Anolis sagrei: one gene and its partners. The protein of the gene in region 1 purifies or fractionates together with the protein of each later gene. This does not show direct contact. Links are inferred from orthologs where the notes say so. Each region holds a gene or a part of one and is shown in the gene's direction. Other genes may lie near its edges. The genes, in order: PDS5A, SMC3, WAPL and CDCA5.

What was found.
Region 2: the proteins of PDS5A (region 1) and SMC3 purify together in Homo sapiens (affinity purification with western blotting; 8 studies listed by BioGRID and IntAct, with this or other methods). This does not show direct contact. The link is inferred for Anolis sagrei from reciprocal best matches to the Homo sapiens genes PDS5A and SMC3.
Region 3: the proteins of PDS5A (region 1) and WAPL purify together in Homo sapiens (affinity purification with mass spectrometry; 6 studies listed by BioGRID and IntAct, with this or other methods). This does not show direct contact. The link is inferred for Anolis sagrei from reciprocal best matches to the Homo sapiens genes PDS5A and WAPL.
Region 4: the proteins of PDS5A (region 1) and CDCA5 purify together in Homo sapiens (affinity purification with mass spectrometry; 4 studies listed by BioGRID and IntAct, with this or other methods). This does not show direct contact. The link is inferred for Anolis sagrei from reciprocal best matches to the Homo sapiens genes PDS5A and CDCA5.

The regions. Positions count from the first base shown.
Region 1 is NC_090025.1:80,315,181-80,322,335, forward strand, and holds the start of PDS5A (sister chromatid cohesion protein PDS5 homolog A), read left to right. Parts: upstream 1-3,940; 5' UTR 3,941-4,109; coding exon 4,110-4,136; intron 4,137-4,819; coding exon 4,820-4,990; intron 4,991-7,155. UniProt on the Homo sapiens protein: Probable regulator of sister chromatid cohesion in mitosis which may stabilize cohesin complex association with chromatin. May couple sister chromatid cohesion during mitosis to DNA replication.
Region 2 is NC_090023.1:209,666,159-209,673,747, reverse strand, and holds the start of SMC3 (structural maintenance of chromosomes protein 3), read left to right. Parts: upstream 1-4,548; 5' UTR 4,549-4,638; coding exon 4,639-4,653; intron 4,654-7,032; coding exon 7,033-7,108; intron 7,109-7,589. UniProt on the Homo sapiens protein: Central component of cohesin, a complex required for chromosome cohesion during the cell cycle. The cohesin complex may form a large proteinaceous ring within which sister chromatids can be trapped.
Region 3 is NC_090023.1:160,376,837-160,384,223, forward strand, and holds the start of WAPL (wings apart-like protein homolog), read left to right. Parts: upstream 1-4,229; 5' UTR 4,230-4,707; intron 4,708-7,387. UniProt on the Homo sapiens protein: Regulator of sister chromatid cohesion in mitosis which negatively regulates cohesin association with chromatin. Involved in both sister chromatid cohesion during interphase and sister-chromatid resolution during early stages of mitosis.
Region 4 is NC_090032.1:22,246,202-22,253,353, reverse strand, and holds the start of CDCA5 (sororin), read left to right. Parts: upstream 1-4,120; 5' UTR 4,121-4,170; coding exon 4,171-4,231; intron 4,232-5,067; coding exon 5,068-5,186; intron 5,187-6,525; coding exon 6,526-6,597; intron 6,598-6,760; coding exon 6,761-6,799; intron 6,800-7,152. Other genes in the region: ZFPL1 (zinc finger protein-like 1), read right to left, coding at 1,343-1,454, 2,492-2,593. UniProt on the Homo sapiens protein: Regulator of sister chromatid cohesion in mitosis stabilizing cohesin complex association with chromatin. May antagonize the action of WAPL which stimulates cohesin dissociation from chromatin.

The DNA.
Region 1 (7,155 bases):
ACAGCTGAACGCCAATGCCCATCCCTCCAACTCTTCCACCTTTTGTCAAGACTTAGGTCTCCCCACGATTCCATGGTACCACCAGATTGCCAGTCCCTGCCACCAGAAAATCCCTCAAAAATGTCACTGGATGTTGGTTGAGTACATACATTCTGAATCTCCTGAACCTTGATCCAATCCAGTGGTTCCTCTTCATCCCCACTACCTCCAGACCCATCATTCCCAGAAAAGCCCATGAAATCCTCTTCCTCAGTCCCGGATCTTCTTTCTCTGACGCTCCTTGCTCTCGAGTAATCCTTTTAATGCCTCTATTCCCATCTGCATCTCCTTCCTCCTCCTCACTCATTTCACTCTCAGAGAAACCTTCAAATGATTCTTCATCCGTGGGCGACATAAGTATCGCTGCTCCTGGGCACCTCGTTTCCGTCCTCTACCACTGGATAGCCCATGAGGTCTCTTCCAACTCTTTGAATCTATGATTCTAATTATTATTATTATTACTATTATTATTATTTACACTTGCCTCAAACAGACAAGAGTCCTTTCTCCCACCCTGGACACTCCACAGATATATAAAACTTCACTTACCTAGTTTCCAACAAACCTCACAGCCTCTGAGGATGCCTGCCATAGATTGGGTTTATTTATTTATCGTGTCATCAGCAACGATACCATTGTATTACAGTTCTAACAGAGCAAAACAAACACACAGATTAAAAAGAAAAAAACAAAACACAAATTTTGCAAATTTGGTAGTTGGTTAAATGTCCTTTGACCAGTATCTGACCACTTAGAGTGCCTCTGGTGTTGCCACAAGAAGGTCCTCCATTGTGCATGTGGCAGGGCTCGGTGCATTGCAGCAGGTGGTCAGTGGTTTGTTCTTCTCCGCACTCGCATGCCATGGATTCCACCCTGTAGCCCCATTTCTTAAGATTGGCTCTGCATCTCGTGGTGCCAGAGCGCAGTCTGTTCAGCGCCTTCCAAGTCGCCCAGTCTTCTGTGTGCCCAGGGGGGAGTCTCTCATCTGGTATCACCCATGGATTGAGGTGCTGGGTTTGGGCCTGCCACTTTTGGACTCTTGCTTGCTGGGGTGTTCCAGTGAGTGTCTCTGTAGATCTAAGAAAACTATGTCTTGATTTAAGTCGTTGATGTGCTGGCTGATACCCAAGCAGGGGATTAGCTGGAAATGTCTCTGCCTTGGTCCTTTCACTACTGGCTGCTACTTCCCGGCGGATGTCAGGTGGTGCAATTCTGGCTAAGCAGTGTAATTTCTCCAGTGGTGTAGGGCGCAGACACCCTGTGATAATGCGGCATGTCTCATTAAGAGCCACATCTACTGTTCCACACTGGGCATACATACTCAGCAGCAGAGTAGCATAGCGCAAGGGCAGCTGTCTTCACTGTGTCTGGTTGTGATCCCCAGGTTGTGCCAGTCAGCTTTCGTATGATGTTGTTTCTAGCTCCCACTTTTTGCTTGATGTTCAGGCAGTGCTTCTTGTAGGTAAGAGAACGGTCCAGAGTGACTCCCAGGTACTTGGGTGCACTGCAATGCTCCAGTGGGATTCCTTCCCAGGTGATTTTCAGAGCTCGGGATGCTTCTCTGTTCTTGAGATGAAAGGCACATGTCTGTGTTTTAGATGGGTTAGGGATCGGCTGGTTTTCCCTGTAATAGGCAGTGAGAACACCTAGAGCTTCGGAGAGCTTCTGTTCTACCATCTCAAAGCTCCCTGCTTGAGAGGTAATGGCATGATCATCAGCATAGATGAAACTCTCTGTCCCTTCTGGCAGTGGCTGGTCATTTGTGTAGATGTTGAACATGGATGGAGCAAACACGCTCCCCTGAGGCAGGTCGTTCTTCTGTTTCCGCCATCTGCTTCTCTGGCCCTGGAATTCAACAAAAAAGCTCCTGTTTTGTAGCAGGTTTCCTACGAGGCAGGTGAGGTGGTAGTCCTTTGTGATACTATACATTTTTCTCAGGAGGACGCGGTGGTTCACAGTATCATAGGCTGCCGACAGGTCTATGAAGACACCTCCTGTGATCTGCTGCCTTTCAAAACTATCTTCTATGTGCTCAGTCAGGTTCAACACTTGCGATGTGCAGCTTTTGCCTTTTCTGAAGCCAGCTTGCTGTGGGATCAGACAAGGGTCTATTTTTTCTGTAATTCTATGCAAAATAAGTCTCTCCAGAACTTTGTAGAGGTGGCACAGCAGGGAGATTGGTCTGTAGCTTTTGGGGTCATTACGGTCTTTGCCTGGCTTCACGATGGCGATGACTCTTGATTTCCTCCAGATTTTGGGGATCTGACAGGATGCAGTGCAGTTGTTCATCAGCTCCAGCAGCCAGGGCCTTGCTTTTGGACCAAAGTTCTTGATTTGTTCCATCCGTAGATCATCCAGGCCACCTGCTTTGCCATTCTTACATTTGTTGAGAGCCATGTCGAATTCAGTAGATGTAAAAGGTTCATGGAGGTTGTTGTTCTCAATCTCTGGTTGTCTGGCTATTGTTTTCTTTCCTACTTTGGTGGCAAAGTTGGGTTTCCCATTCTTCAGGAGTTGGTGTGCTATCTGATCTGCCTTTATGTTGGCATGGGTATTAGTTTGTGAGGGGTTGTTGCTCAGCCGTCTCAGCAGCCTCCACGCCTTCTGGCTGCTCCTGCCCATGTCGACCTCTGTGACCAGCTTGATCCACTGTTCTTTCTTGGCTTCAGAGATGGAGGAAACAATGCTCTGCGCTGCCTGAAGAGTCTGCTCACTAAATGGGGGGGGGGGGGGGACATGAGAGAAGCCTCCTCGCAGGATTGCAAGACATCCAGGCGTCCCCTGGGCAACGTCTTCGTAGACGGCCGATTCTCTCGATCCAGAAGCAACCAGAGATCCGCCTAGTCAAAGCCATGGTATTCCCTGTAGTCACCTACGGATGTGAGAGCTGAACCTTAGGGAAGGCTGAGCGAAGGAAAATAGATGCTTTTGAGCTGTGGTGTTGGAGGAAAGTTCTGAGAGTGCCTTGGACTGCGAGAAGATCCAACCAGTCCATCCTCCAGGAAATAAAGCCTGACTGCTCATTGGAGGGAAGGATACTAGAGACAAAGTTGAAGTACTTTGGCCACATCATGAGGAGACAGGAAAGCTTAGAGAAGACAATTATGCTGGGGAAAGTGGAAGGCAAAAGGAAGAGGGGCCGACCAAGGACAAGATGGATGGATGGCATCCTTGAAGTGAGTGGACTGACCTTGAAGGAGCTGGGGATGGTGACGACCGACAGGGAGCTCTGGCATGGACTGGTCCATGAAGTCACAAAGAGTTGGAAACGACTGAACGAATGAACAACAACAAAAATAAAGACTGGCCACTGTCTATGAATTCAGAATATATGGAGAAGACAATGATGCTGGGGAAAGTGGAAGGCAAAAGGAAGAGGGGCCGACCAAGGGCAAGATGGATAGATGGCATCCTTGAAGTGACTGGACTGACCTTGAAGGAGCTGGGGGTGGTGACGGCCGACAGGGAGCTCTGGCGTGGGCTGGTCCATGAGGTCACGAAGAGTCGGAGACGACTGAACGAATGAACAACAACAACCCCTCGTAAAACCTCACTTACCTAGTTTCCAACAAGCCTCACAACCTCTGAGGATGCCTGCCATAGATTGGGTGAAACGTCAGGAGAGAATGCTACTGGGACAGAGCCATGAAGCCCGGAAAACTCACAGAAAACCCAAAGATTTGTTTGTTACTGTGGCTTCCCTCCATCTTGGCGCCAAATGAGGAGTGCCCAACCGGCAGCAGCAGCATCCTCAAAGAGGAGCTCAGCCAGCCCGCCTGGGCCTTTAAAAGCCTCCGTTCCCAGAATGCTCCGGGGCGGGCCTTTTTAAAAAGGGCGGAGGCGGCTCCCGGAAGACTCCCCTTTTGCTGAGGTTCCCCGGCCGGCCGAGAGGTGGCGCTGTTTCCCCGCCGAGAGGCGCACACGAGCAGCCGAGGGTGGGAGGGAGGCAGCCAGCCACGGGGGAAGAAGGAAGGGAGGACTCGCCAGGGTGCAAGGGAGCCCTCGCCACCCCCGCCGCCACCGCCGCCGCCGCCGCGTCCTTCTTGAGAGGCGCCACCGCAGGCCGCTCAATGCTGCACCTTCCGGAGCTGCAGGAGGTGGGCAGGCAGGGGGGTAGAAGGGGGAGGGGGGTCGGAAGTGGTCCCTATTTCCCCCTCCCCCCTTCCTTCGCCATCGTGGCGGATTTTGTGAGGGAAACAGAAATATTTCCCCCTCAAGAATCAACTTGAGGGGGAAAAGGAGGAGGAAGGGTCCTGAGGTGGAAGTTGAGGGAAAGCCCCGCCAAGTGGAGGGAGGGCCTTCCCAGCCTCCCTCAGAATCCCCTTCGTTTGCCCCTTCCTCCTCCTCCTCCTCCTCCTGAGGGTTTCTGGGACTGCTCATAGTTTTGAGGCCTAGCAGTTTAGGCCTCGCCGCCCGCTCCAGGCAATCAAGCAATCCAGCAAGCAAACGCCTGCCTCAGAGTGGCTGGGCTTCCCCGCCTCTCCTTTCCGCATCTTTCCTGAGAGGAAGCAAGAAGGCCCCCCTCTCTTATTTTCTAATTTTCGGGGGAGGGGATTCATTGTGATTGATTGGACTGCCAAACTCATGGCCTCGACGTGTGGGCCTAGCCGAGGCGGGAGGGAGGGAAGGAAGGGAGGGAGGCCTCGGGTCTCGCCGCTGGGCCTCCCTGCTTCTTTCTTTTCTTTTTTTCCCAATCGTGGGTTGGAAATCTGGGGGGGAAGGGTGGCAAGGTTTGGAAAGTCGCTCCTCTCCTGCTGAACTTTTGTTTTCTGACCGATAGAGGCCGGTAGAGGACTGTGGCGAGGAGAACTTCCTCACCGGCAGCGCCAGGATGGAGTTCCCACCCGCCCAACCAAAGCCTCCTGCCGATGGCAAGATCATCTTCTATCCTCCGGGAGTCAAAGAGATCACGGACAAAATTACCAACGATGAAGTGGTCAAGCGACTCAAGGTAAGTCCTGGTTTTCATATGACTTTAGTTGTTGTTGATATCTGCCTTCAAGTCTTTTCAGTTCATGGTGACCCCTTAGGTCAGTGGTTCTCAACCAGATGTTTGGGCCTTCAACTCTCAGAAATCCTAACAGCTGGTAAACTGGCTGGGATTTCTGGGAGCTGTAAACTAAAACACCTGGGGACACACAGGTCGAGAAGGAGCCCCCCCCCCCCCCCGTGGCGCAGTGGCAGCAGGACTGAAGACCGACAGGTCACAGGTTCGAAGGCGCGCTTGGTGGGGACGTGGGACAGGGCCTTCTCCGTAGTGGCCCCCCAACTCTGGAACACCCTCCCCAAAGACCTTAGACAGGCCCCTTCATTGGCTATTTTCAGAAAGAACTTAAAAACCTGGCTTCCTCCACTACCGAGTCCCACAAGCACTTTACCAGAACCAATGATTGTTGCACATCGCACGTGCCCTGGAAGCCCTATATACACCTCCTGTCAAATCAGCACTTTTAATCCTTGTACCCACCTTTTGGCCCGGCCCAGATTTATTGTGTTTTAATGTACTGTGCTTGTTGTTTATTTTGCTTTAATTTGTTTTAATTGTTTGATTTGCTTGATTGTATTGCTATGTTGTATTGTTGTGGCCTCGGCCTGTTGTAAGCCGCATCGAATCCTCTGGGAGATGCTAGCGGGGTACAAATAAAGTTTAATAATAATAATAATAATAATCCAGGGAGAGGCGGATGAGCTCCCTCTATCAGCTCCAGCTCCTCATGCGGGGACATGAGAGAAGCCTCCCACTAGGATGATAAAACATCAAATCATCCGGGCGTCCCCTGGGCAACGTCCTTGCAGATGGCCAATTCTCTCACACCAGAAGCGACTTGCAGTTTCTCAGGTTGCTCCTGACACAACAACAACAAAAAAAACACCCTTAGGTTTCAGATTTAAGAATCATTGATCTGAACCAATGAAGATTGGTTCCAATGAGCTTGTTGGCTTCATAGTGTGATACCTTGAAAATTGGCATAAGCATCTAGGCTATGATGTAAAAATGGTACAAAAAAACCCCACCCTTAGGTCAGTGGTTCTCAACCCGTGGGTCTCCAGATGTTTTGGCCTTAATAATAATAATAATAATAATAATAATAATAAAACTTTATTTATACCCCGCCACCATCTCCCCAAGGGGACTCGGAACGGCTTATATGAGGCCAAGCCCGACAACACATCAATAGAACAAAAAACAGTAAGCAAAAACAATACAATTAATATAACTCCCAGAAATCCTAACAGCTGGTAAACTGGCTGGGATTTCTGGGAGCTGTAGGCTAAAACACCTGGGGACGCACAGGTCGAGAACCACTGCCTTAGAATCAGGTCAGTGGTTCTCAACCTGTAGGTCCCCAAGTGTTTTGGCCTACAACTCCCAGAAATCCCAGCCTGTTTACCAACTGTTAGGATTTCTGGGAGTGGAAGGCCAAAAAATCTGGGGACCCACAGGTTGAGAACCACTGCCTTAGGTGAACCTTTCTCAGGTTGTGTTGTCAAAGGCTTTCATGGCCAGAATCACTGGGTTGCTATGAGTTTTCTGGGCTGTATGGCCTCGAAGGCTTAGCCCCATGTAAATTGGCCCAAGTCCCTTCGGGGAGATGGAGGTGGGGTACAAAAATAAAGTAGTTGTTATTATGTGAAACACAACAAGATGAGTCCACGGCAGACACTCTGCTGACTGTTGTATTGGATCACATGTCAGACACTTCCCTAGTGTCTAGGACTGTGTGATGTATCGGCGAATAATGCGTGCAGATCCCAGTAAGGTGGCCTTCTGCAGCTGGTAATTTTGTCAGTGCTGATTGTGTTTAAGTGCAGGCCAAGGTCTTTAGGCACTGCACCCAGTGTGCCGAACACCACTGGGACCACCTTTACTGGTTTGTGCCAGAGTCTTTGCAGTTCGATTTTTAAATCCTCATATCGAGTCAGCTTTTCTAGTTGTTTCTCTTTAATCCTGCTGTCACCTGGGATTGCAACATTGACAATCCATACTTCGTTTTTTAACACGATTGTGAGGTCAGGAGTATTATGCTCCAAAACTCTGAGTTCTGAAGTCACAGAGGAGTTTGACATGCTTATACTCTGTAACTATTATTATTATTATTTGAAACACCACAAGAT
Region 2 (7,589 bases), on another chromosome or scaffold:
CCTTACAGCTGGTAAACTGGCTGGGATTTCTGGGAGTTGTAGGCCAAAACACCTGGGGACCTAGATCATTCTAGAGCATTCCTAACACCTAGTGAACTAGTGACCAGATCAAAACGAGTATGATTAATTTGGCTAAATTTGCTCTCAACAAACCCATGATAGCTCTCAGTAATCATGCAGAGTCATACAAACCCTTGCAAACAGACTCCTTTATAATCAATTCATTTTTTTTCTCCTGATAGTGCAGTCATGCTGAGTGGTTTGCAGTTCCCTGGATTTTTTTCAACCTCTTTTGAAGAGAGGCACAATGTTTGCTCTTCTCCAGTCCTCTGGCACCTCTGTTCTTCAACATTTCTCAATCTTTCAAAATAAATTATACGAGGAACCTGTATTTTTTCCAAAATACAGTGTTCCCTCAGTACTCTGCAGTTTGCTTCCTGTGGACTCACTGTTTCACGGTTTTTCCAAAAAAAAATTAATTTAAAATACAAGTCCTGAGGGAACACTATATACACAGATCTATAAACCCCACTTGCCGAAGTAGCGCTGGTGAGAGGTACGGAGAGGGACGCCAAGGCAGCTTCCACCGGGGCTTCTTCTTCTTTCTTCTGAGGTGGAGAAGGCCACCGCCAAGGCAGCTTCCATCACGGCTTCTTCCTGGTCGCTCTTCCTCGGGTGACCAGGTGAGAGCCCCATGCCAGTGGGGAAGCGGGGGGGGGGGGGAAGAAGGGTGGCTCCAGCAAAGGGATGGGCAGGGAAGGAGGAAGAGAGGGGGAAAGAGGAGAGGAAGAGAAAGAGAGAGGAGGGGGGGGGAGAGTAAGTGGAGCGATACTGTACATATACAGTATAGCATCCCTACATCGTGGTTTTTGGACATATTCTTTGCTGACCACATTTTTCACATGTCCGTGTTTGATATTGTTTGGCTGTAGTGTGCCCAGATATTTATAGGCTTCAGGCTGATTGCACTTTATGGTTTGTCTATTTAGCATCTCTATGCCTGTGATATCGAGCTCTTTTGGGAGGGACTTCCCAGCGGGGAAGATCCCTGGAGATCGCAAAAGGGATCTTTGACCTTGGTGAGCTGCCAGCAAAAGCCAATCCAAAGCGCAAAATATTAAGAATTAATCCCACCAGAGGCTGAAGAGGTATCCAGTGACCGAAGCGTTTATTTAGCGATTCAGCTGAAAAGGATGCATTACAGGGATATTTCCTCTATAAGCATGCAGTACAGTGAATTTCAGGTATATTTATACAGGCAAAACAAAGAAATCCTGGTTTGAATCTCCCGCCCGCCTCCTGTCAGTTCCCTCTGTCCTGATTGGCCGGCTCCAGAACAGCTGGGAGGAGGCTTGGCCGCTGGTCCCGCCTTCCCTCCAATCGCCGGCCGCTGTCGCTTCCAGGGGGCCAATCAGAGCCCTTGGAGCGCCTCCGGAGACTGTCCAATCAGCGGCCAGGAGGCGGGACGTATCTTGACAGCGCAGAGGGGCGGATTTGCCTGGAGGCGTCCGCCAGCTGATTGAACACCTTTTGTTCTTCGCACGGCAGGGAGGCGGAAGGGGAGACAAGGGATTTCCTGGGTTCCGATAAAGGATGTGTATAGGAAAAAAAAGGGTGGCTATGGGTGGTGTCTGGATCTCAACCCTGTGGCGAAGGGAGTCCTTTGTCACAGGGGAGCGTACACAAAACACCATGATTGATTTAATCAGTCTGTTTTTCCGGGCCTTTTGGCTGACAGATTTCTGGCTTTTGTTCGTCTGACTCTGAAAACAAAGCCATAGATCTGCCAGTCTTTGTCCATGCAATGTAAATATGAATGGAGTTTCTTCCAAGGAAATTGGATTTCCTTAACTGTAATCCCAGGTCACATACTTTAGTAGGGTAAAGTTCAGAGGGAGAAAAGGTGGGGGAGAGGGTCAGGGTACATTTCATAGATTTCATATTTTTCCATATCATATACATTCTTCATAAACTTTCATAAGCTCATAGATTTCATAAAGGGGGGTCCCCATCCCATCCCCATCCCCATCCCAGCAAAGTTTATTAGAAGCAACAACAATTGGCAAAAGCAATTCATCAGAGTTCCTGAGGTATGATCTGCTTGGCAAGGACACACACACACAGGCGGGGGCCATTCTCCCCAAGCGGCTTGGCCTTGAGTTCGTAGAGGAAGTTCGTGATAATAGGACATCAAGTCAATCAGTGAGGGCAGAAAGGTCCGCAAAGAGTCTAAAATGGTGGAGAGTGGGGCAATGTCCTTTGGGGAACTGCATTTCCCTGATCAGGGGCCAGGGTCCAGTGCACAAGCCAGAGAATTCACAGAGAGGAAACAGGAACCCAGTTATGTGTGCTGGGTCAGGAAGCAGCAGAATCCATTTTCCGGCCCTTGGTGAACTACAAATACTTGGGGGGGAAGATGCTCTGCATCACCTGCACTGTTAGGTGATATTAGGCTTTAATTCGATATTAGGTTTTAATGTATTTTCATATATGTTGGAATTCAAACTGAGTCCCATCAGGAAGATAGACGAAATACAAAAAAAGTTTATTGTTATTGTTATTATTATTATTATTAAGGTAAAGGTTTCCCCTGAAATTAAGTCTAATCGTGTCCGACTTCGGGGGGTTGGTGCTCATCTCCATTTCTAAGGCAAAGCCAGTGTTGTCCGTAGACACCTTCAAGGTCATGTAGCCGGCATAACTGCATGGAGTACCTTACCTATCTACCTACTAGACTGGAATAAGCTGGGCCTAACAGTAGAGCTCACACCGCTCCTCGGATTCGAACCGCCAACCTTTCAGTCAGCAAGTTCAGCAGCTCAACGGTTTAATGTGCTGTGCCACCAGGGGGCCCTATTATTATTTTTATTATTATTATTATTATTATTATAACATAATAGTACACAGCAAACAAGATCACTACGCTGACTTTTGTTTTTGTTCACACTTCGGACACTTCCCAAGTGTCTAGGACTGTGTGATGCATTGTCGCATAATGCATGCAGATCTGAATTGGGTGGCCTTTTGCAGCTGACAGATCGTAATTTTGTCAGTGCCAATTGTTTTTAAGTGCAGGTCAAGGTCTTTAGGCACTGCGCCCAGTGAGCTGATCACCAATGGGACCACCTTTACTGGTTTGTGCCAGAGTCTTTGCAGTTCGATCTTTAAATCCTTACATTGTGTCACTTTTTCTAGTTGCTACTTGTCAATCCTGCTGTCACCTGGTACTGCAACATCAATGATTCATACTTGTTTTTTTCCCACGATCGTAAGGTCAGGAGAATTGTGCTCCAAAACTCTGTCAGACTGAATTCGGAAGTCCCAGAGTAATTTGACGTGTTCATTTTCCGTAATTTTTTCAGGCTTGTGATCCCACCAGTTCTTTGTTGCAGGCAGATGGTATTTGTGGCACAAGTTTCCTATGGACCATCTGAGTAATGCCTCTGCTTGTAGTCCGTCTGCACAATCTTCTTGCGGCAGCTGAGGATGTGATCCATTGTTTCGTCTGCTTCCTTGCAGAATCTACACTTGGAATCAGTGGTAGACTTTTCAATTCTGTCTTTGATGGCACTGGTTCTAATGGCTTGTTCTTGGGCTGCAATAATAATAATAATAATAATAATAATAAAGCCATTCTGGCTCTTTTGGAACTTATGGAAGGAACTCCATACTGATGTCAGTGCTGAAGATTCTGACCATGTTGGTCAGTGACTGGATTTTCAGTAACTGCCTTACTGTTGTTGTTTTTTTGTATCCGAAACTGCAAGTCGCTTCTGGTCTGAGATGATTGGCCGTCTGCAAGGACGTTGCCCAGGGGACGCGCTGATGTTTTTGATGTTTTACTGTCCTTATGGGAGGCTTCTCTCATATCCCCACATGGGGAGCTGGAGCTGACAGAGGGCGCACATCCATGCATTATTGTTGTTGTTGTTGTTGTTATTGTTGTTGTTGTATGGAGCCCCCGGTGGTTAAACCCCTGTGCTGGCAGGACTGAAGACCGACAGGTCGCGGGTTCGAATCCGGAGGAGGCGGATGAGTTTCCTCTATCAGCTCCAGCTCCTCATGCGGGAACATGAGAGAAGCCTCCCACAAGGATGATAAAAACATCAGTTCATCTGGGCGTCCCCTGGGGAACGTCCTTGCAGACGGCCAATTCTCTGACACCAGAAGCGACTTGCAGTTTCTCAAGTCGCTCCTGACACGACAAAAAAAATGTTGTTATTCTGCGAGTCGCAAAACAGCGCCCTCTGGCGGCAGCTGCGCTCCCTGCAATCGCGCCGCCTATTCCTCCCTGAGGCTCCCCCTCCTATTGGCCGCACTGGCTTTGGCGCCCTATTTCGCTCATGCCGGGCCGAACCAAAATCCTACCGAACGGGGAGGCAGAGATGGTGCTTTATTAGCTTCGATTTTAAATAAAGGGCAGTCACCACAAGTACAGCAACCACTTCGTCTTTTGGGAAGGTCTGACCCGTTTCCTCTGCCTCTTTCCGAGGCTTTTGCTGCGTTTTCGCCAACGATCCTCCCCTCTTTTCCTTTGCAGAGTGGTACGTTCCACAGCGAACGGGAGGGGGAGGCTTTGCCGCCATTTTGTTCTCGGTGGGCGCAGTGACGGGGAGGAGGGAGCTTTTCGCCGCCGCCATGTATATCAAGCAGGTAGGAGGCCCTCAGGTTGTGAGGGGGAGGCTTTTTTTTTCTTTGGAAACAATAAAGGACGGTTGGGAAGAATTCATGGCTGCAAAGCGAGGGACTGGTGGGGTAAAAAAAAAAGGGGGGCTGGGGGTGTTGAGGCGACGAAAGCCAGGCCCTGAGACTCAGTTGAGGCCCTCGTTCTCTGTAGAATGACAGCATCAGCAGGGGATTCAGCCTCACCGGCGGGCCTTGTTTACTTTCTGTGGTAAAATGAAGTGGTAAACAAGAAAAGTTGAGGCCTCGGCTGGTTGATCTTTTATTTTATCTCCCACAATAACCTAAAGTTTCCAAAATGTAATGAACATTGGGAGGGGAGTGGGACGACGACGGCGACACGCAGGCCTCATCTACACTACCATGCGATGCAGTTCGGTGTAGTTAAACGATTATATGAGTCTGCACTGACCATATAACGTAGTTTCATACTGCATTATATGGCATTGCAGATTAGGCTTCATCTGATGCTTGTTGGTGCTGGCTGAGGGCCCTTCCACACAGCCCTATATCTCAGAATATCAAGGCAGGAACTCCCACATTATCTGAGTGTGGGCTCAGATAACCCAATTCAAAGCGGATATTGTAGGATTTTCTGCCTTGATGTTCTGGGATATAGGACTGTGGAAGGGCCCTGAGTGTGGACTTAGATAACCCCCAGGATCCTTCCACACAGCCCTATATCCCAGAATATCAAGGCAGAAAATCCCACATTATCTGGGGCCCTTCCACACAGCCCTATATCTCAGAATATCAAGGCAAAAAATCTCAGTTATCTGGGGGGCCTTCCACACAGCCCTATATCCTAGAATATCAAGGCAGAAAATCCCACATTATCTGAGTGTAGACCCAGATAACCCAGTTCAAAGCAAATAATTGCAGGATTTTCTGCCTTGGTATTCTGGGATATAGGACTGTGGAAGGGCCCCGAGTGTGGACTCAGATAACCCAGGGTCCTTCCACACAGCCCTATATCCCAGAATATCAAGGCAGAAAATCCCACATTATCTGAGTGTGGACTCAGATAACCCAGTTCAAAGCAGATAATGTGGGATTTTCTGCCTTGATATTCTGGGACAGGGGTCCTCAAACTAAGGCCCAGGGGCCGGATATGACCCTCCAAGGTCATTTACCCGGCCCTCGCTCAGGGTCAACCTAAGTCTGAAACAACTTGAAAGCACACAATAACAACAATCGTATCTCATCAGCCAAAAGCAGGCCCACACTTCCCATTGAAACACTCATAAGTTTATATTTGTTAACATTGGTCTTCAAAGGAGTGGATTATAATAAAAAATGAATTCCTATGCACACTGCACATATCTTATTTGTAGTGCAAAAAACATTTAAAAACAATATAATATAACCAGAAATTAAATAATAACATAACCTGTCAATTAATTTACATCTAACGTAAAAAATAAATATAAATGTATATAAAACCTCAAGTTAACATTCATTTAAATTAGTTATTAAAATCATTATGCGACCAATAAAATCAACAGAGCCAACAGAACCAATATCTGCTTTAAACTGGATTATCAGAGTCCACACTGCCATATAATCCAGTTCAATGTGGATTTTATACAGATGTGTGGAAGGGGCCTGAGTCTCCACTGCCAGATAATCTGGGATAAGAGGATAATCTGTGATCAGATTCTGGAGTATAGGGGCATTGTGAAAGGCACCAGAGGCCAGAGTATTTCTTGTCCAGAATGCTTAGGATCCAGAGTTAATATACCACTATATAACCCATGCATTTCGACACCACTTTAACAGCTGTGGCACAGTGCTATGCAATCATTGGAGTTTCAGTGTTATAAGGTCTTTGTAAGTCTTCTCATCAAACTATGAATCCTAGAATACTGGAGCATTGATCCATGCGAGTTAAATGGGTGTCAAATTGCAGTAATTCTGCAGTATAGATGCTTTTGTACCATGCTTTCCCCTTCTAGAAGATTAAAATAACTCTGAAGCTTTAGTTAAAAATCATGAGTTTTAATCTAAAAACACTGATATATCAAGACTTTCTGTCTCAACTACAGCTGAAATCTCATTCTGAAGATTTTGTTAAAAACCGAATTTAACATTTAATCTTAACGAGATTGCACACTCATAGTTTTGCTTCACCTGTTCTTGAAGGCTGCATAATGAAAGTGCAGGAAGCAGGCTACCATCACAACGTGGTACCTGGTAATTGTATTGTTTTTGTACGTACTGTGGAAATGATAGAAATGAATATAGCAAATTTACTTCTTATCCTTTTTGAGACATTGTACTTTTGAAAGCTGTAGTTGATAATAAATTGTATTTATGAAAGTTTATTTAACATAAATGTGTTTATTTCAGGTGATCATCCAAGGATTTCGCAGCTACAGAGATCAGACTATAGTAGATCCTTTCAGTTCAAAGCATAATGTCATTGGTAAGTTCCTGTAATACAAAGGCTTATGCAGCATTTAAGTATAACTTTTAGAGATGAAATTGACATTTGATATATTTCTTCCTATTCAGAATGAAACTGATTGCTTTTTCTTATCTGATTGCTTTTTCTTATCTGGCACATTTGTTGTTATTTTTAATGTTACATAATTTCATGGGTTAGTGCCCCTAGATCAGGGGTCCACAAACTTTTTAAACAGAGGGCCAGGTCACAGTCCCTCAAACTGTATATTTGAAAAAAAATGAATAAATTCTTATGCACACTGCACATATCTTATTTGTAGTGCAAAATCACTTAAAAACAATACAATAATTAAAATGAAGAACAATCTTAACAAATATAAACTTGTTAGCATTTCAATGGGAAATGTGGGTCTGCTTTTGGCTGATGAGATAGGATTGTTGTTGTTATGTGCTTTCAAGTCATTTCAGACTTAGGTTGACCCTGAGCGAGGGCCAGGTAA
Region 3 (7,387 bases), on another chromosome or scaffold:
GGCTTTCATGGCCGGAATCACTGGGTTGTTGTAGGTTTTTCCGGGCTATATGGCCATGTTCTAGAGGCATTTTCTCCTGACGTTTCGCCTGCATCTATGGCAAGCATCCTCAGAGGTAGTAAGACCTTATTACCTCGGAGGATGCTTGCCATAGATGCAAGCAAAACGTTAGGAGAAAATGCCTCTAGAACATGGCCATATAGCCCGGAAAAACCTACAACAATGCAATAAGAGGTAAAGCCACAAGTGAGAAGATGATGGTTATCCAGATTTTACTACATGAAAAGAGTTCTGGCCCTGGTTCAGCAGTGAATGCAGAAAGTATGATTCAAGGTACAGGGTTAGTCAAAATGAATAGGCCAATTCGGCTACAATTAATTTTCTTATTGGCCTATTCATTTTGACTAACCCTGTACTTCTCAAGAAAAGGACTTTGATCAGGCAAAATAAATTGTTAAAATGCAAGGACATTAACTAACGTTGTTCACCTGTCTGTCTGTCTGTCTGTCTATGTATATAATAAAAGTGAACTTATGTATGTATGTGGGTGGCGGTGTTTGTATGTTTGCGGCGGATTTCCTATCGGCTCCTACTTCCAGAGACCAGTGTGACCCCCCATCAATGATGGATCTGGACCAAACATGGCACACAGAACCCCCAGGACAAACAGAATATACGGGAGGAGTTTTGGGGGAGTCTGACCACAATGGGTGGGAATTGTAGTTCATCCTACATCCAGAAAGCACTCTGAAGCCCACCAAATTTGACTTGATCGAAGTCAAATTTGGCACACAGGAACTACAGAACATACTCATTATGCACAGCGCATTTTTATATATATAGACTTTGGTTTAAGCAAGAATCAACAGGAACAAAAAAAGGAAGAACCGAAAAAACACCAAGCCTTAAGTGCAAGTAACAAAGGTAGGTGACTATTTTAAAAATGCAAAGGTAGAAATGCTATTCTAAGCACATTTTACTCTGGAAAACAAGCCACACCAATCTCAGTGAGACTTACTTTCAAGCATATGTGCATATGCTTATGATCCCGTTTAAGAGGCCTTTGAGTTTTTAAACTTTTGGGACAAAGAAAAGACGGATTTGACGAAAAGGTCAGGAATGGAAGCCCAGAAATTGGAGTCATTGATATGGTGATTAAAACAATAAACATGAAAGGCAGTACCACAGGTCATGTGAAGGACAACACAACAGTATTCCACACATCCAATCCCCTGGTAATATAGACTGAAGCCACTTCTATTTAAATGTAAATATTTGGTTAATTTGAAGATGTTTCTAACACCACTTCCATTCAAGCCTGCATTTCTCCCTATACATTTCAAGTTACAGGGTAACTTGTAACTGGACAAGGGAAGAGTCGCCATGAACTCATAATTCTCCATACATTTTCCAGAGATAAATTTCTTTCAAGATTCAGTTGGAGAAAGGCACTTATCTGTTTTTTCTTAGGTTGTGGTAAATATTTGCACTACATATGTGACCTTTTCAGGTAAAACATCTATAAGAATATGATAATTATCTGTTTGCATGAATGAATACTAAATATGTTGTCGAAGGCTTTCATGGTCGGAATCACTGGGTTGCTGAGTTTTCCAGGGTGTATGGCCATGTTTCAGAATAATTCTCTCCTGACATTTCACCCACATCTATGGCAGGCATCCTCAGAGGTTGTGAGGTCTGCTGGAAACTAGGCAAACAGAGTTTATATATCTCTGGAATGTCCAGGATGAGACTTGTCTGCTTGAGGCAGGTGTGAATGTTGCAATTGTCCACCTTGTTCAGCATTTAATGGCCTTGCAGCTTCAAAGCCTGGCTGGTTGCTGCCTGGGGGATCCTTTGTTGGAAGGTTTGCTGGCCTTGATTGATTCTTGTCTGGAATTCTCCTGATTTTTGAGTGCTGCTCTTTATTTACTGTCCTGATTTTAGAGGGTTTTTTTCATACTGGTAGCCAGATTTTGTTCATGGTTTCTTCTTTCAGATAAAGAAAATCCCACATTTTTTGCTTTGAACAGGAGTATATGCAGAGGCGGCCCTAGGTAATTTTCAACGGTAAGCAAACATTATTTTGGGTTCCCCCCAACCAATCATTGATATATATTTTCTGTTCGCCGTGAGAGTTCTTTGTGCCATATTTGGTTCAATCCCATCATTGGTGGAGATCAGAATGCTCTTTGATTGTAGGTGAACTATACATCCCAGTAACTACAACTTGCATATGTCAAGGTCTATTTTCCCCCCAAGAACGCCTCAAGAGTGCCCCTGGGCAAAATCAACTATACTGCGAATGCTTACTTTGCGTAAGGGGTTGAGCTGCCCCTGAATATATGGCAATGTGGACTCAGATAATGAGTTCAAAGCAGATATTGTGGGTTATTCTGTCTTGATATTCTGAATTATATGGCTATGTGGAAGGGCCCAGAGATGGAGGAGGCTGCAAAGGCCATCATTCTAGTCCAACCGTCTTCTGCTAAGCACAAATACACACTTAAAGCACTCCTGAAAGATGCCTTTGTTTAAAGACCTCCTGCTTTCCGCTGTGAAACTGTTCTTACAATAAAGATGTTTCTCTTAAGGTTTAGGTGCAACGTATGTCCTTGTAATGGAATCCTTGTTTCAACAGTAGAGATAGGTTGGCAAAGGTTGATTTCCAAATGTTCAGAGTCTTGCTTCTTTATTAATCAATTAATTATTATCCAGCCTTTCTTGCAGGACAGGACCAAACCTGGCATAGGTAAAGATAAAGGTTTCCTCTCAACATTAAGTCTACTCTGGAGGTAATCAATGCTAATCAAGGTGGTCAGTTGAAACATTCACATCTAGCTCCAGCAGACAAGAGTCCTTTGTCTCACCCTGGTCATTCCACAGATATATAAACCCTTTTTCCTGGTTCCAACAGACCTCACTACCTCTGAGGATGCTTGCCATAGATGCAGGCGAAACATCAGGAGAAAATGCCACTAGACCATGGCCATATAGCCCAAAAAAACCCTACAACAGCCCAAGGCTTTGAATGTTGCTTCCTTGCTTATTCAAGAAGGAATTTCATAGAGTTTGGTTGTATTATCTGCCATACTGAAATGCTGTATGTACTCTTTGACTCTTAAAGAAGATATATGGGATTTCATGAAAGAGACACACATGTACTCTGTTTACTATGATGCAGCCATGAAGCCCCCAAAGAGCTACTGCTGCCACCAATATTTTTAGCATTACAAAGGGCTAGAAGTGGCACCAGAGAAGCCAGAGGTACGAAATTAATCCACGAATAAACCCATACGAGCACAATTCAAAGTGCTGGTTTTGACCTACAAAACCCTATATGGTTCCGGCCCGGTGTATCTGTCCGAACGGATCTCCCTCTATGTCCCGCCTCGGAGTTTAAGATCTTCTGGGGAGGCCCTGCTCTCGACCCCCCCCCCCCCCCTATCACAAGTGAGGCTGGCGGGGACGAGGAGCAGGGCCTCCCCAGAAGATCTTAAACTCCGAGGCGGGACATAGAGGGAGATCCGTTCGGACAGCATATTATTTGAGAACACAGAAATGCTGGACCACTCTCACAACCACCATGCCAGACTACACAGAGAAGCCATTGAAAACCACAAGCATGTGGACAATTTCAACAGAAAGGAGGAAACCATGAAAATGAACAAAATCTGGCTACTAGTATCAAAAAACTCTAAAATTACAACAGCACAACAACAGAGAGGAAACAAACAAGAACATCTAATCACCTCTCAACCAAAGTTTGCTCTAGGCACAGTCAGGCCATTATATGCTTATCAAGGTGGTCAGTTGAAACATTCACACCTAGCTCCAGCAGACAAGAGTCCTTTGTCTCATTCCACAGATATATAAACCCTTTTTCCTAGTTCCAACAGACCTCACTACCTGTGAGGATGCTTGCCATAGATGCAGGCGAAACGTCAGGAGAAAATGCCACATGGCCATATAGCCCGAAAAAACCTACAACAACCCAGTGATTCCGGCCATGAAAACCTTCGACAATAAATCAAAGCTATACGTCCCACATGGAAGAATACAAAGGCAGGGAAGCTGCCAAGGCGGCGACTAGGGCCATAAAGCAGAAGAGACTCCGAAAGGGAAGAAGAAACCAAATCCGATCAACTTTTTTCTGTGCCGCGCGTTCTGCGCATGCGCGCCCAACGGCCGGCGGCGCATGCGCGCTGCGGCCCGGCTCGTCGGTTGAGTAAGGCGGGCTGCGATTGGCCGCGGCGGCGACGGCGAGCGAGGCCGAGTGTGTGAGGCGCAGTGACGGAAGGAAGGCAGGCAGGAAAGCAGGCAGGCAGGCGAAAGCGGGGGGCCAATGGCGGAGAGATGGTCCAGGGCCCTGTTGCAGGAGTAGTCGACACCGTCCCGGCGGCTCCCAGGAAGCGGCGGCGAAGGAGGCGGCGAAGGAGGAGGCCGCAGACTCTGCCGGGAGGCCTCGACGCCGGCGCCTTCACGCGGAGAAGGAGCAGCCCAGGCCCGGGGGCGTCGCCCGAAGACGGCGAGCGAGCAAGGAAGGGGGAAGGCGGCGGAGGCGCCCCGAGAGTGACGTGCGCGCCAGGCCGGGCCCTCTCCTCCTCCTCCTCTTCCTCCTCAAGGCGGCCTTCCTTGCTCACTTCTTCCCTTTTTTGAAAAACAAACCTCATAATTTCCTCCTTCGCGTCACTGGGCCTTGCTGAGGTAAGTCCTGTGAGGCAGAGGAGCGGGGAGAGGCCCAGCCAACTTCCTCAGGCCTTGCCTTGCTTTGGGAGGCAAGAGACGACTGTCTTTCACGCTCTTACGCAAACGACACTCTCTCGGCCTCAGAGGGAGGCCCAGACTCCCCCCCCCCCCAACAAATACTGTCTTATGAAAGGCTCGGGCCTAGGACGCCTCTCCGGCCTCTTCTACACTGCCATACAATATCCAGATTGTCTGCCTTGAACTACCAGTGTAGACTCATATAATCCACTTTATCTGATTTGATAATCTAGATCAGGGGTCCTCAAACTTTTTAAACAGAGGGCCAGGCCACAATCCCTCAAACTGTTAGAAGGCCGGATTATAATTTGAAAAACAAAACATGAATGAATTCCTATGCCCACTGCACATATTTGTAATGCAAAAACCACTTAAAACAATACAATAATTAAAATGAAGAACAATTTTAACAAATATAAATTGATTAGTATTCTAATGGGATGTGTGGGCCTGCTTTTGGCTGATGAGATAGGATTGTTGTTGTTGTGTGCTTTCAAGTCATTTCAGACTTTGTTTGACCCTAAGCGAGGGCCAGGTAAATGACCTTGGAGGGCCGCATTCGACCCCCGGGCCTTAGTTTGGGGACCCCTGATCTAGATTATAGGAAACCTCTCCGGACTCATCTACACTGCTATACAATATCCAGATTGTCTGCTTTGAACTACCTATTATATGCCAGTGTAGACTCATATAATCCACTTTATCTGATTTGATAATCTAGATCAGGGGTCCTCAAACTTTTTAAACAGAGGGCCAGGTCACAGTCCCTCAAACTGTTGGAGGGCCGGATTATAATTTGAAAGAAAAAAAATGAATGAATTCCTATGCCCACTGCACATATTTGTAATGCAAAAACCACTTAAAAACAATACAATAATTAAAATGAAGAACAATTCACCCTGATCTAGATTATAGGAAACCTCTCCGGAGTCATCTACACTGCTATACAATATCCAGATTGTCTGCTTTGAACTACCTATTATATGCCAGTGTAGACTCATATAATCCACTATTTGATTTGATAATCTAGATCAGGGGTCCACAAACTTTTTAAACAGAGGGCCAGGTTGCATGGATGTGTGGGCCTGCTTTTGGCTGATGAGATAGGATTGTTGTTGTGTGCTTTCAAGTCATTTCAGACTTAGATTGACCCTAAGCAAGGGCCAGGTAAATGACCTTTCCCGGGCCTTAGTTTGGGGACCCCTGACCTAGATTATAGGAAACCTCTCCGGCCTCTTCTACACTGCCGTACAATATCCAGATTGTCTTCTTTGGACTGCCTATTGTATGCCAGTGTAGACTCATATAATCCACTTTATCTGATTTGATAATCTAGATCAGGGGTCCTCAAACTTTTTAAACAGAGGGCCAGGTCACAGTCCCTCAAATTGTTGGAAGGCCGGATTATAATTTGAAAAAAACAAAACATGAATGAATTCCTGTGCCCACTGCACATATTTGTAATGCAAAAACCACTTAAAAATAATACAATAATTAAAATGAATAATTTAAACAAATATAAATTGATTAGTATTTCAATGGGAAGTGTGGGCCTGCTTTTGGCTGATGAGATAGGGTTGTTGTTGTTGTTGTGTGCTTTCAAGTCATTTCAGACTTCATTTGACCCTAAGCAAGGGCCAGGTAAATGACCTTGGAGGGCCGCATTCGGCCCCCGGGCCTTAGTTTGGGGACCCCTGATCTAGATTATAGGAAGCCTCTCCGGCCTCTTCTACTTCCATACAATATCCAGATGTATGGATGCTTTGAACTACCAGTGTAGACTCATATAATCCACTTTATCTGATTTGATAATCTAGATCAGGGGTCCGCAAACTTTTTAAACAGAGGGCCAGGTCACAGTCCCTCAAACTGTTGGAGGGCCAGATTATAATTTGAAAAAAACAAAACATGAATGAATTCCTATGCACACTGCACATTATTATTATTATTAACTTTATTTGTACCCCAAGGACTACTTTGTTGACTGTAGGATTTATATATTTTAGTTTGGAAAATAATATTGCATAGTAATTATTAATATACGTAATTCCTCGAGTTTACATATTGACAGGCACTGTAGTGAGTATTGCATGAAGGAAAATTATATGTTACAGCAGTGTTTCTCAACCTGGGGGTCGGGACCCCCCTGGGGGTCACGAGGGAGTATCAGAGTGGTTGCCAAAGACCATCAGAAAACATAGTATTTTCTGTTGGTCATGGGGGTTCTGTGTGGGAAGTTTGGCCCAATTCTATTCTTGGTGGAGAACATAATACTCTGATTGGAGGTAAACTATAAATCCCAACAACTACAACTCCCAAATGTCAAGGTCTATATTCCCCAAACTCCACCAGTGTTCACATTTGGACATATTGAGTATTTGTGCCAAGTTTGGTCCAGATCCATCATTGTTTGAGTCCACAGTGCTTTCTGTATGTAGGTAAACTACAACTCCAAAACTCAAGGTTAATGCCCAGCAAACCCTTCCCATATTTTCTGTTGGTCAAGGGAGGTCTGTGTTCCAAATTTGGTTCAATTCCGTTGTTGGTGGATTTCAGAATGCTCTTTGATTGGAGGTGAACTATAAATCCCAGCAACTACAACTCCCAAATGACAAAATCA
Region 4 (7,152 bases), on another chromosome or scaffold:
CATCCTTCCTTCTCTTTCTTTCTCTCCAGCTTTCTCGCCTTCTTTCCCTCCTTCCTTCGCTCCCTCGTTCCTTCCTTCCTTTCTCTCCTTCCTTCCTTTTCTAGCTTTCTTTCCTTCCCCCTTTTCTTATCCTTCCCCTTTCTCTCCTTTCTTCCTTCGTTCCCTCTTTCCTTCCTTCCTTCGCTCTTTGCTTTCATCCTTCCTTCTCTTTCTTTCCTTCTCTCCTGCTTTCTCTTCTTTTTTCCCTCCTTCCTTGGCTCCCTCTTTCCTTCCTTTTTTTCCCTTTCTTTTTCTCCTTCCTTCACTCCCTCTTTCCTTCCTTTTTTTTCTTTCCCTCCTTCCTTCTCTACCTCTTTCCTGCTTTCCTTCTCTCTTTCCTTTCTTTCCCTCCCTCTTTCTCTTCTTTTTTTCTTTCCTTCCTTTTCTAGCTTTCTTTCCTTCCCCTTTCTCTCCTTTCTTCCTTCTGTCTCTTTCCTTCCCTCCTTCGCTCTTTGCTTTCATCCTTCCTTCTCTCTTTCTTTCCTTCTCTCCCGCTTTCTCTTCTTTCCCTCCTTCCTTCGCTCTCTCTCTTTCCTTCCTTTTTTTCTTTCTTTCCCTCCTTCCTTCTCTACATCTTTCCTTCTTTCCTTCTCTCTTTCCTTCTTTCTTTCCCTCCCTCTTTCTCTTCTTTCTTTCTCTCCTTCCTTCCCTCCCTCTTCCCTTTTTTCTGTACTGTCATTTAGTTTTTTGGGGTTTTAAAGTCCTTTTCCACTGACTGATGGTCACTCGTTGGTCTCTTAGGGATATAGTGTCCAAATTTTGTGTCCATTCATCCAGTGGTTTTTGAGTTATGTCAATCCCACAAACGAACACTGCATTTTTATTTATATAGATTGTACTATAACAATATACTGTAATATTATTAGTAATATTACATTCAATATAAAATATATAATCATAATATCATATTATTAGTAGTAGTAGTACTATATTGTATTACATTATAATATTATCAATATTATAAGTATAAACAATATATTATTTTCCCACAAACAAACATTGCATTTTTATTTATATAGATAGAATACTATAACAATATAGTGTAATATTATTAAGAATATTCCATTTAATATAAAATATATAATTATAATATATTATTAGTAGTAGTACTATATTGTATTGCATTATAATATTATCAACATTATATTATATTATAAGCACAGTGCAGGAGTCAAGATGGCCCCTCTCTTTGGTTCTGGAGGGGGGAGGCTCCCAACTGATGACACCCGGACCTTTGGGGTGACCCCCCCCCCCCCGGACCGGACCTAGCTCAAGCACAGTGGCACGAAACGCAAGAGCTGACCATAGCAGACGAGGCGGACGGTCTCTTTGGTGGAGAGAAGGGTGTTGCAGAGCCGACAGTTGGGGTTGTAGTCGCTATCCTGGAGCCACTGCAAGTAAGACTGGACAATGCACTGCAACGCAAGGGAGGGAGGAAAAAGAAAAGCACCATTATAATAATAATAATAATTATAATTATCATCATCATCATCATCATCATCATCATATAATCATAAGCCTCTATTACACTGTTCAACAGAGAAAAAGTTTTGGGCCTGAAAATAGTTGTTCTTATATGATTTTGGGGTGCTGAAAACAAAAATGACATTTAAAAATGTATATTGGCTCTAGTTTTTATGAAATAAGCAATCACGTGACCACGTATGGTTGAAAAAATGCATGTTGCGACTTACACTATGGAAGATTCTAGAATACTCTAGAAAGTTTGATGACACAGTATGAGTGCCGTGTGCAAAAGCCAGAAAGCCCTCTATAAGGCCAGACTTTTGAACAGTGAGGGTCAGTCAGTTGAAGACTGAGACAGTATTGTTAAACATCGTTTTCCATTGTTCTTTTCACTGTCGTTATGCCTCGCATGTGTGTAAATAAAGCCCTATGGAAAAAAGACATCAAGGCCAATGGACTCCGTCAATGCTGTCAGACTCCTGCTGGAGCATTGCAAGAGGGAATCCTCTCCTTGACTACAAAAGAAAAGTCAAGAGAAGCAAACAGGATAGAAACTAAAGTCACGATTAAAGCGACATTTCAACTTTCAGACTTTTCAACTGCATTAGGCCTACTAATAGAGTTCCTTGCTGCACAAACATAAACAATAGACTAATTAAATAAATATTTCTCATGTATAAACTATTGGCAATATAATTGGACTAAAATTTAGTAAACATTCACGTTTTATATACATGCAGTAAGGTTAGGCGCAGTATCATAATATTAACGAATTACCTATTGAGGAGAAAATTGAAATAGCTGTTGCATAAAAACCAGAGCCAATGAACACATTTAATTATTATATTTGAATTCAGCATGTTAAATTAATTAAGAAACGGCACATTTCGTTTCCTTAACTAAGAAAAACTGAAAATTTGTAGAACAGTGTTATTAGAGGCATTCCCCTTGGTGCACTCAGCAGCAGCAACAACAGCAACTTTACCTTGTTGTGATTGGCGACAATGCAGTGCTCGCAGACGTTGACGCGGTGCTCGAAGCAGAAGAGGTTGGTCACCTTCCGCTTGGGGCATTTGCACAGCCCCATGGCAGAGCCTGCAGCAGGAGAAAGAAAAAAGGAATCAATTATATCTATATATATATATACATACATACATATATATACATACACACACACATCCGTCAGTGTTCTGTGTATTTTGATATGTGCATTTTGTAGGAATACATTTTAATATTTGCATTTTAATATAATAATATTTTTAGCTATTGAGCCATAAGGGGTAATAGCTATAATTATTCATATAATAATAATAATATGCACGTGTGAATTTAAGCCAAAGAGCCGGTGTTGTCCGTACATACTATCAAAGTCATGTGGCCACTGGCATGACTGTATGGACTGCTGTTACCTTCCTGCCGGAGCGGAACCTACTGTTCTACTCGCATTTGCATGTTTTCAAACTGCTAGGTTGGCAGAAGCTGGGGCTAACAGCAGGAGCTCACCACACTACCCGGATTTGAACCACTGACCTTTTGGTCAGCAAGTTCAGCAGATCTATATAGGAGTAACATCAATAATATATACATTAATATATATTATATATTATATATACATATTAACAACAATAATATACTAATACTCTCTGATGAGCCACTGCCATGATTCCACATCAAGGGACTATTGGCATTTAAAGCGGTATCAACCCGCATTAACTCCCCGGTGTGTCTTATTTTCCCAGGCCTCCCCCTCCTCACCTTCCTCTTCAGCCTCCTTCCGCCTTCTGCCACGTCTCTTCCGGGAAAGTCGCGCGCCGATGGCGTCACAACCCAGCCGTCGCTTCAGGAAAAAAGGAAACTAAGGAGGTCTAGTCTCGCGAGATGTCGAGACCTCCCGCGGGATTCAGTCTGCCTCTCCTAAAATGGCGCCGGGTGGTTTGTGTATTAGTAGCTGAATGGGAAAAGAGAAGCGACAACCAACTCTCGCGGGATGTTGAGACTTCTCGCGGGATTTGGTTTGCCTCTCTTAAAATGGCGTCGGGTGGTTTGTGCATTAGTAGCTGAATGGGAAAAAAGAAGCGACAACCAACCCAACTCTCGCGGGATGTGGGGACTTCTCGCGGGATTTGGTTTGCCTCTCCTAAAATGGCGCCGGGTAGTTTGTGTATTAGTAGCTTAAATGGGAAAAGAGAAGCGACATCCAACTCTCGCGGGATGGTTAGACTTCTCACGGGATTTGGTTTGCCTCTCCTAAAATGGCGCCGGGTGTTTTTTGTATTAAAAGAGAAGCGACATCCAACTCTCGCGGGATGTGGAGACTTCTCGCGGGATTTGGTTTGCCTCTCCAAAAATGGCGCCGGGTGTTTTTTTTGTATTAAAAGAGAAGCGACGACCAACTCTCGCGGGATGTGGAGACTTCTCGCGGGATTTGGTTTGCCTCTCCTAAAATGGCGTCGGGTGTTTTTTGTATTAAAAGGGAAGCGACGGCCAACTCTCGCGGGATGCTGAGATTTCTCGCGGGATTTGGTTTGCCTCTCCTAAAATGGCGCCGGCTCTGACTATTGTTTTCCTTCTCTTCCACTGTGGTGACGTCACTTCCTGCGTGGAGGTGGCGGGCGATTTCAAAGCCGGAAGAGAGAAGGAAGGAAGGAAGGAAAGCAGGAGGCGATGGCGGGAGGAGGCCGCGGCCTGCCAAGGCGGGCTCGCTCCGCAGGAGAGGCCCGGGCAGGTAGGCCGCAAGCCTGGGAAACAGTATTATCCACTTGGGCCTTGTCTCCAGGTGTTTTGGACTACAAATCCCACAATTCCTCACAGTCTCAGGCCCTGAAAGGGCCTGAGGCTGTGAGGAATTGTGAGATTTGTAGTCCAAAACACCTGGAGACAAGGCCCAAGTTGATCCATGGCTACTCCAGCAGCACTCCGTCCTGACATTTCTCCCACATCTCAGAAGGTTGTGGTTGTTGGCCACCCTGATGAGCACCAAATGGCCTTGCAGCTTCAAAGCCTGGCTGCTTCCTGCCTGAGGGACATCCTAGATATATTTATACCTGTGGAATGATGTCCAGGGTAGGAGAAAGAACTCTTGTCTGCTGGAGGCAAGTCTGAATGTTGTCGTTGGCCAGCTTGATGAGCACTGAATGGCCTTGCAGCTTCAAAGCCTGGCTGCTTCCTGCCATGAGGGAATCATAGATAGGTTTATACCTGTGGAATGATGTCCATGGTGGGAGAAAGAACTCTTGGCTGCTGGAGGCAAGTCTGAATATTGTCATTGGCCAGCTTGATTAACATCGAATGGACTTGCAGCTTCAAAGCCTGGCTGCTTCCTGCCTGAGGGAATCCTAGATATATTTATACCTGTGGAATGATACCCAGGGTGGGAGAAAGAACTCTTGTGTGCTGGAGGCAAGTGTGAATGTTGTCGTTGGCCAGCTTGATTAGCACTAAATGGCCTTGCAGCTTCAAAGCCTGGCTGCTTCCTGCCTTGGAGGGTGGAGGGGGGGGTCCCATTTTCCAGCCTGGAGTTCCCCTGCTGTCTAGTCTTAACCCTCTTCCTTTTTGTTTCAGGCGTCGTTTCCTCTCCTCCAAGGCGAAGGTCCGAACGCACGGCAGCGGCTTCCACGGCGGCTCTGTCTTTATCCGAAAGGAAGGCATGTTTGCGGCCCGGCGGGGCAGACGTCGGTTCGGTGCGTAATGTAAATACCTGTGGAATCTTCAAGCTGGAAGGGACCCCCATCCAGTCCAACCATCTAAGATAGACATCCTAGAGTTTTGGGGAGGCTTCTAAGAGAGATATACATAGATAGATATAGGATTCTAAAGTTGGAAGGGGCACCCAAGGGCCATCCAGTCCAACCCTCTAAGAAATAGGTAGATACATACATACATACATACATACATGGATTGATTGATTGATTCCTAGTGTGGGAAGGGACCCCAAAGGCTATCTAAGAAATAGATAAATAGATACATAGATAGATAGATAGATAGATAGATAGATAGAGATTCATTGGATGGATGAATATGATATAGATTAGATAGATGGACAGACATAATAATAATAATAATAATATAATAATAATAATAAGATAGAGATACATTGGATGGATAGATATGGTATAGATTAGATAGACATAATAATAATAATAATAATAATAAGCTAGAGATTCATTGGATGGATAGATATGATATAGATTAGATAGATAGACATAATAATAATAATGGTAGAGATTCATTGGATGGATAGATATGGTATAGATTAGATAGACATAATAATAATAATAATAATAATAATAATAATAATAATAATAATAATAGAGATTCATTGGATGGATAGATAAGATATAGATTATATAGACAGACATAATAATAATAATAAGGTAGGTAGAGATTCATTGGATGGATAAATATAATATAGATGAGATAGATAGACAGAAATAATAATAATAATATAATAATAATAAGATAGAGATTCATTGGATGGATAGATAAGATATAGATTAGATAGATAGACATAATAATAATAATATAGATAGAGATTCATTGGATGGATAGATATGGTATAGATTAGATAGACATAATAATAATAATAATAATAATAATAAATGGATAGAGATAATATAGATTAGATAGATAGACATAATAATAATCTTTATTTAATACCCCACCACCATCTCCCCAATGGGGACTCGGGGCGGCTTACATGAGGCCAAGCCCAACAGCATATTACAATAAAATAAAACCAAAACACAATAAAATATATACAACGTATGAGTTTAAAAAAAAGCAATAAAGCAAAATAATACACAATAAAATAAAATAACAATGAGCGGACCGCATGTGCAAGACATGGATTGATAGGTGGAGAAACTGAAAGGTAGATAGATAAAATCCTAGTTGGAAGGGACCCCCAAAGGCCATCCAGTCCAACCCTCTAGGACATAGATAGATAGATAGATAGAGATATTGTTTCATTATCCAGAATACATAGCAGCTCACTTTGGAGTTTTTGCAATTTCCCGGCAGCCGCCTGCACCGCTCCAGGCGAAGAAGCCCATCATCACTCTGAGGAAGATTGTGCCGCGATCGAACCGGCAGGTCAGTCAGGCTTTATCAATTTGGCTTTATCAATTCCTATCATCTTTATCTATTATCTCTACCTGTCAATCTGTCCTATCTATCATCTCCACCTGTCAATTATCTATATCTATCTATCGCTCTATCTGTCTGTCTCATTTTGGCCTTTCTTTTTTTGCTCCAGGTCAAAGAGACGGCCATCACGCCCCGACGGAGCCCAAGGGTCAGTCATTATTATCAGAATTAGTATTATTATTGCTATTAATGTTTATTTCTACCTTGCTTTTTCTCTCCACGTAAGAGACTCAAAGCAACCATGTGTTATTTTTAGTATTAGATATTATTATGATATTTATTTATTTATCCCCTGCTTTTTCTCTCCACAAATGAGACTCAAAGCAGCTATGCATCTATTATCAGCATTACAATGTATTATTATTATTATTATTATATTACTATTGGTATAATAAATATTATGTTTATTTATAGTCAAACCCACTATGTACACTATATACCAATAATAATAATAATAATAATAATAATAATAGTAATAGTAGTAATAATAATAATAGGGTT